Canis lupus familiaris: one gene and its partner. The protein of the gene in region 1 purifies or fractionates together with the protein of each later gene. This does not show direct contact. Links are inferred from orthologs where the notes say so. Each region holds a gene or a part of one and is shown on either strand. Other genes may lie near its edges.

Region 1 (4,116 bases):
TTTACTCTCAGATGGCTGAGGCTGCAGAAGAGGGTTTGGCGGGTGCAACCGATGGAGCTCAGTGTCAGTGCCGTGTGAGACCCACCAGACCTCCAGTTGGGAATATACAGCAGGCGATTGGGTAGTTGACCCTACTGTTGGCGTTCACTGCACATTTCTTGAATAATTCAAGCCAGAACTGAAGCCGAATCCAGGGTCCCAGTCTCCCCCTCTAAAAAATGGTCACAATAATACCACTGATCCTAGGCTGTCACGAGGCTGGGGCGATTCCTTTGCAGCACAACACCACACTGCACACCTGGAAACTAAAGTCATGCGTGGGGTGGAGAGACGGCTGGGGTCTGCAGCTCGGGCGAGAAATGCAGGTTGTGTACGCTTCAAGCAGCGTCCGTCGGTCCGTCTCCCCCGTCCCCCAGCGTCTGGCTGCCGTCTGGGAGGGGAATAGGAGCCTGGGTCGTCACCCTGTCTTCCCCCACTCTAAGCTGGGTTTCCTCCTTGGGGGCGGCCCGGGCCAAAAAACTGCTGATGGAAACCAGCTGCGGGAGGCGCAGAGGCTCGGCGCAAGCCCAGGCCCCTCCCCGGCGCCGGCAGACCCCGCTAAGGGGGGGGACGAGGGCGCCCCAGCTCCCCTCCCCCCCTTCCGCAGCCGGGCCCGGGGCCCTGGCACGTCCGGCGCGCCTGATGCTTTCCAGATGTGAGCCCGGTTCCCTTCCCCCACCTGGCCCCGTGTCTCCTGCGGGGTTGGCGGCGGGGGAGTCAGGGTCCGATACTCTCAGATGGAATCGCCACCAGGCACCCGGCCCGCTGTCCCCTCCCCGCCCTTCTCGCTTCCCCGTCTAGGCGATAAAAAGCGAATTGGGACCGGCTGACTGCGTGGAGACGCTCCTTGCAGCACCTCCGGCTCTCCCCAACCCCGCCCCTCGGGGCACGCCTCCTCCGGCCCACGCCCCCAATGGTACGCCCCGGACGCGCCCCTTCGGAACCCCGCCCCCGCCCCCGCGGCCCCGCCCCGGCCGCCCCGCCCCCGCCCCGAGGCCCCGCCCCCGGCCGCCCCGGCCCCGCCTCCGCCACCAGCCCCTGTGGGCTGCTCGGTGTGCGAGCCGGACTGTCCGCCTCGGTGTCTCTGGCTGTCTCTGGCTCTCTACGTTCCTGTGTCTCTCCTATACCCGGCACGTCTCTGTCTCTGCAACCCCCTGTCTCTTTCTCACCTAGTCCCTAGGTCTCAATCTCTCCACATTTCTGTCTCTGCGTCTCTCTCTGCCACTCTCTCTGCCTCTCCCCACCTCTCTTTGAATTTCTCAGCTTCAGTCTCTCGCCCTGGCCTCCAGCCCCCTGCGCCCTGCAGCGTCCGGGTCTCCCTCCCGGGGGTGCTTCTCCCGCCCGCCCTAATATCCCTCCGCCTACGGCTCTGGCGCGGCGGGCCGCGAGCGCCCCCGTGTGGTCATCCGGGGGCTGTCGCAAGAAGGCCCGGAGGGTTGAGTGTGGGCGCCCACAGGGGTGTGCGAGGGCAAGGAGAGACACTGAGTGTCCCTGGGTGACACCGGGGAATGGCGTGAGACGCCGAGAGATAGTATGAGCGTGTACTACCTTGGGATTGTGCGTGACGCTAGAGGTTGTTGTGTGGCTGTGTGACCTGGGGAGATTTTGTGACCACCAGACACAGGGTGTGACTGTGAAACCACGTGTTACGCCGAAAGGTTGTGTGCGGCTGTGCCTGTGAGATGGGAAAGATCACATGCAGGTGACTGCGTGGGACCCTGAGAGGCTGGCTCTGCCTGAGACACTATTCGTGGGGCTGGTGGTGACATTGAGACTATGAAGGAACGAGAGATTGTGTGGCACAGTGTGCAACGTGGGGAGACATGAGGGCCTGTGTGTGTCATGCGGGCAAACGTGTGTGACAGAGGGTGAGACAGAATGAGTATGACACACCCAGAAGGGGCGTGGGAAGTCGGTGTGACAGGCCCAAGGGGGAATAGGTGTGACAGAGGGACCGTGTGAGTGTGACAGCATATGTCAACCACACTGGTGAACTGTGAGAAGCCGTGTGACTCTGTGTGACACAGATCATGTGGGATAGTGAGACACACAAGGCGTTGTGACAGCCCTCCAGGGGTTGTGTGACCGTGCAGGGCACAAGCAGATGAGAACATGAGTGAGAGACCTTGTGCCCGTGTAAGTGTGCAATACACGAGACTGCTGGGTGAGGGTGGTGACAGCTGAGGGTAACGGGGACTGTGAGGGGCTCAGCAGGAGCTCGTTTGCATGATGGGGTGTGTGTGGGGGGACACTCTGTGAGGGATGGTGTAAGATTGTGTGTGACACCAGTAGACTGTGCAAAAGTGAGCATGAGTGTGTATGTGGGGATCCCTGGACGTGGGACTGCGTGTCACCGTGTAACACCATGTGCTGTTGAGTGACAGTGCTCAACAAAGATGTCGTGTAATTCCATGTCCCAGTGTGAGACCCTGACACAGTGAATGTGTGTGATGGACACACATTGAGAGACTGTGTGTGACACGGGGCGAACCTCCGTTTGCACCTTTGATACTCTAAGATAGTGTATCTGTGCTTGTGCCAGGTGGCACTGGGGATGACGTGACATCTGACACATTGTGAGACATTGCGTGACATTTTGAGGGGCCGCGTGACTGTGGCACTGTAGGACACTCTGTGGGGAACACCAGGGTGTTGTGAGACAGTGAGGTGGCGGGCACCTGCATGTGAGGGGGGCCGTCTGTGGTGGGGTGACCCCGGGGGGCAGCTGTGACAGGGTGGGAGAGCACGTGTGATGGGGGGGGACAAGCTGCACGGGCCTCACAGGAGGGGTGTGTGTGACCTGGCGTAAGTGTGGGGTGTGGGGCACACCTGTGAGTGAGTGTGCGTGCGTGTTCCGGAGGGACAGAGACAAAGAGAGAAAGGGAGAGACAGAGACACAGAAAGACAAAGGGGAAGGACATCGGGAGGGGGCCAGGGTGCGGGACCGGCGCGGTGGCAGCGGGAGGAGGCGGGCCTCAGGGGCTGCGCCCCGGGGGAGGGGGCGGGGCGGGCCTGGGAGCGGGGGACACCCAGACGCGGTCTCCCAGCCGCCACCTGCCCGCCAGCCCGGCCGGAGCTGCAACAGGTAGGAGGCTCGGGTCTCCCCACCGCGCAGTTAATCCCTCTGCCCCAGATTGCAGCCATGGTCTGTCCGCCTGGGAATGAATGAATGAGTGAGCGAATGAATGACTTTCTACTTCGCGTCTCCATCAGCCAGTCTCTGCCCCCGCCCCTCCACCTCCCTCTCCCTGTCCCCCCAGCCCTCCTCTCCTCTGTCCCCTATCCCCGCGGTGCCTCTCTCTGCCGCTCCGATCGTCCCTCTCTCCTTTCCCACCCCCTCACTCCATCCCTCCCGGACCCCCCACCTCCCCTTCTCTGTCCCCCCACCGTCCCCTCTGTGCCTCCGTCCCCCTGGATCACTCCATCCCTTTCTTTATGCCTCAATTTGTCCTCCCCTCCCTCTACTCCTTCCATTGCTTCATCCATCCATCCTCCCTGCCCGTCTCCCCGGTCCTGGCTGGGTTACCCGCCCCCCACCCCCCAGCCCTCTCTCCGGCTGCTAATGAGCAGAGGAGCCTTTGAGGTGGCCAGGGCTGGGGTGGGGGAGCGCCCCGAGGGGGCCGGAGGGGGCAGCTGCTGCCAAGGCCCTAATGAGGCCCCCTCTGCGCCTTTCCCGCCGCGATCTTAATTCCTTGTTCTCCCCGGAGCCACCGCTAATTGGCCTGGGGAGGCCCCCCTCCTGGCTCCTGCTCGGTCCCCGGGGGGCCCAGGACACCTGGATCCTGATCCAGCACCTGTGGCCTCGTTGGGTCCCTCCCTCCACCTGCGGGGCGGCCTCGCATCCGTGCTTCCCTCCTGCCTCCCCTGGCCCCTCCTGTCCCTCCCTGCACCTGGCCCTGGGTACCCCATCCTAGGCACCCTCCACCCTCCGCTCTTACCCCTCTCCTCCCACACGTCCTGCTTTGGCCTGCCTCTGCCACCCCACCCCCGTCTGTGCGTGTCTCTTCATTCCTCCTCCGCCCCCCCCCCCGTTTTCCTGTCCCTCCCTCCACCTCTGGGCACCCCCTCCGTACGCTC
Region 2 (3,618 bases), on another chromosome or scaffold:
CCTCCACCAGGAGTGATTTTCGGTGTGTGAGGCAACTTTCTATTTCTCTAAGTAATGCATGCTATCTTTATGAATGAGGGGTTTGCTAAAACAAAGATTAAGCCTCAACACCTTAAGAACAAGGAAAAGAGGGAATCTCCTAACAAAAACAGGTAGTGTCTTCCAGAAGGAAATGCTGAATTTCAAATAAAGACAGGTATTTTCTGTGTTATTTTTTCTCAATCTAAGACACACAGAGACATTATCACTCGGGGCCTATCAACTAATTTGTGTATGTAATTATATTTTCAGTGCAATAAATATGAATATGCTTCATATGGATATGATCTACTGTAGCCTGAGTGGATACTACTAGTTCTAATACATCTAATACTACTAACAGGTTTTTAAGTAAGTTTACTGTCTTATGTTCCCACACAAGAAAGGTTTTGGTTTCTCTGGGAAGCATTTGTGTCACAAACCGCTTTTCTCTCAAATGACAGGAAGGATCCTGTCCAAGCGATTCATCGCATCACTCATGGAATTCATAAATCAAACATCCTGTCCACTTGATGGATCTCTCTCCTCTATTTATGACCGTTCACACAGAAGGAAATGTTTGCTCTGAAAAAAGATGTGAGACTGAAAAAGAAAATTTTACAATAAAAATATTTTTTTAGAAAGGGATTTTGTCCAATTACGAATTTTCTATCACAGATCACCAATCAACATGGTCTGCCTCATATAGTCCGCTGAGATCAGCACTTCCAGAGGAAGTTTCCAAAAGACACAGTGCACGCTGAGAGAATCAGATTCTAAAGTGCTCTGAAAACAAATCTGATTCAAGAAAGTCCTGGGGACGTATTATATGCTGAATCCTACTGGTAATAGGATGCATTGAGACTGTATAATTAGAATAACCTTAAAAATGGATACATTTTAAAAAGCATTTAAAATGCAAAACACTGTACTTGAAGGTGTTCTAGTGCTGAAGGCCCACACCGGTGTGTTTCCAGGGGTGGAAGTCGTAATAGGAATATCAGAGACACAGAGTGAACTTGCATCCGTGGAGTTGCTCCTGTAATCTACATTGCAATAACCCTCAGATTCTCTAGAAGAAAGAACTATTTACATATGACGATTTCAAATTCTACTCTCAGGTGCCTACGTGTGCATCTCGAGGAGATGATTAAGCCCAGACCTGCAAAGCCACCAACAGATAATTGTTAGTCCCTTAGTAATTAACGACTTGTGAAACTTGAGTTTAAAGACAGAAACAATGTTTTACACACACACACACACACACACACACACACACACACACACACACACGTGCCCCATCCAAAATAAAGCACTCATATTTTGGATGCATAACACCTTACTCCTGGCAACTCAAAGGTGCTTCTTTGGACCTGCCTCTCCCCCTAGCTCTGCTGAATCATCTGCAGGGCATCTGTGGCCTTCCTACCAGGGACTGGTAACTCCTAGGCTGAGCACCTAAACCATCTGTACCCACACACCTCACTGAGTACATTAAGGTGACTTTACTGATTTAGGAAACTCTTGCCCTGGAAGATGAATTCACAGATACCTTTGTTGTATGTTTTAGGAACCTCACAAAAATCCTTTATTTATCCTAAGAGTAGACTACTCAAACTACCCTTTTTAGAAAAGACATTCACTTCTCAGGCCTACCCAGAGCATCAACAAATGACTGGTTACTTTTCAAGACTGTCTTCAAAATCCTCTTCCTCCCCTAACTATGTGTCCAGCAATCTTAAAATTATTATTCCACAAATGTCCGATCCTAATTAAATCCCTGCATCTGGCCTTAAACCAGACCCCCCCTTCCCCATACCTCCTAAACATATGTCTTTGTTCTTATATTCTGAGAGGCCACTAAGACTGTCAAGTTTGTGCTCTGTCCCCACCGAGGTAAGAAATAAACTTAGAAACTTAAGAAATAAACTTTGCTTTATGAATAGGCTATTTTGGAGCTATTTATGAGGAGCCAACATCCAACAAGGTCATAGAGCTCTTTGAGAATCTGATGAAAGCCATGAGGACAACTCTTCCCAGAAAAATGGACACATTAAATGTGACCTATAATTTTGGGGACTTCATGAGTTCCCTAAAGCCCCTCTGTGGGTCTCACAAAGGTGTGTCACCATGGAATAAGAAGGTTGCACCACTGAGAGGTGAGATTGACACTGTGGTTTGCCCAAGATAGAATCAGAAGAATCCTACTTTCAGGATCAATGGGAACTGCTTGAGTCACCTGGCCCAATTATTACTTCAATTACATGCTGATACATAGTTATTTAACCAAGTTTGAACACCTGCCTTGATGGGGGGACTCCCTACCTCTCTGGGGCAATGGATCGGTTCTGGGGCCATGAGCTGAAATTAGAGCACTGTCTGGCTGACATGCCCCATGTTTACGCTGAGCCTCTGCTTTAAGAAGGCCAATCACTCTTCCTCTCACACACACAGTAAAATAAAAAAATGTGTCTCTTACTCTTAGGGTATGATCCCATGATCCTGAACAAAAAGCAGTCCCATCAGGGGAAACTCGCAGAGTGCTGACTCGGTTTTCATGTCCAAACAGGATGGAGACTCGGGACCCCTTAAGAACATCCCAGACATTGATGGTATAATCGTTGTATCCAGCAAATAGTAGGCGACCTCAAAGTAGGAGGATATGATGGTTATTGAACCAGTTCTTCCCTTTCTGTTTTTCTTTTCATGACTTTCACTCATGCGATCATGCAGTCACTTGCTCGCTCATTCATTCATTCATTCATTCATTCATTCATTCATTCATTCAATCAACAGTGATTTTGGGCCTGCTATGTGCCAGGCATTATGCTTTGCCCTGGGGATTCTGAGAAGAGAGCACGGTTACTGTCCCTTGTGGAGGGTGGTGGTGGGCAGGCAAGTAGACAATAAATGGACACATGGTAGCACCATGTAATAAGGGCTGTATTGGAAATGCTTAGCTGTGTGTACAATGCTATGTGCTCATGGAGGAAGGGGAATCAAGGAGGGCACTACACAGGAAGTAACATGAGTTCGCTCTTGAGGGCTGAGTAGGAGTTTGCCAGGCAGAGAAGGGAGGCAAAAGATGTTGTAGGCAGCAGCAGCATGCATGCCTAAAAGCACAGATTTAGCCTGGGGAGCTGTGTCTGGGGAAACTGAATGTTCCTATCTGTGCTGCCCTAACTCTTACTAGCCGCATCCCCAGCTGTGAGGCACAGGTGGCATGAGCTTCAAGGCATCGAGAAAAGGGCTCTTGCTTCACTCCCCCTACAGCTGGAAAAAGTCCCTTTTCAGGGAAAAAGGGGAGAATGGAAGGCAGAGGAGGAAATGCCTAGTGAATGGCTCTGCAGATGTGAAGTTTCATGCATCGTTGTCTTGAAGAACAGCATTAGGTGGCACAGCCTTCATTTCCTGTAAAATGAATGGAGTGGGGAGGCCGCTTCAGGTGCGGTGAAGTGGGGGTGGGGGCTCGTGGAAGAAAACCAGTGCAAATGCAGATTGCTTAACACATTGGCTCCCAGGAAGTTCAGCTGAGGGAAAGCTTGATGGAAAGCTGGGTTTCATTTATATCCTGTCTTACAGCCCCAGGGAAGCTTCTAA

Evidence for each region. Proteins that work in one complex are often made in the same cells at the same time.
Region 2: the proteins of GNG8 (region 1) and GNB5 purify together in Homo sapiens (co-immunoprecipitation; 3 studies listed by BioGRID and IntAct, with this or other methods). This does not show direct contact. The link is inferred for Canis lupus familiaris from reciprocal best matches to the Homo sapiens genes GNG8 and GNB5.

What each region holds. Positions count from the first base shown.
Region 1 is NC_049222.1:109,969,830-109,973,945, forward strand, and holds the start of GNG8 (guanine nucleotide-binding protein G(I)/G(S)/G(O) subunit gamma-8), read left to right. Parts: upstream 1-1,245; 5' UTR 1,246-2,723; intron 2,724-3,040; exon of another isoform or gene 3,041-3,124; intron 3,125-4,116. UniProt on the Homo sapiens protein: Guanine nucleotide-binding proteins (G proteins) are involved as a modulator or transducer in various transmembrane signaling systems.
Region 2 is NC_049251.1:18,128,799-18,132,416, forward strand, and holds part of GNB5 (guanine nucleotide-binding protein subunit beta-5), read right to left. Parts: intron 2,665-3,618; coding exon 2,498-2,664; intron 1,181-2,497; coding exon 1,169-1,180; 3' UTR 1-1,168. UniProt on the Homo sapiens protein: Enhances GTPase-activating protein (GAP) activity of regulator of G protein signaling (RGS) proteins, such as RGS7 and RGS9, hence involved in the termination of the signaling initiated by the G protein coupled receptors (GPCRs) by accelerating the GTP hydrolysis on the G-alpha subunits, thereby promoting their inactivation.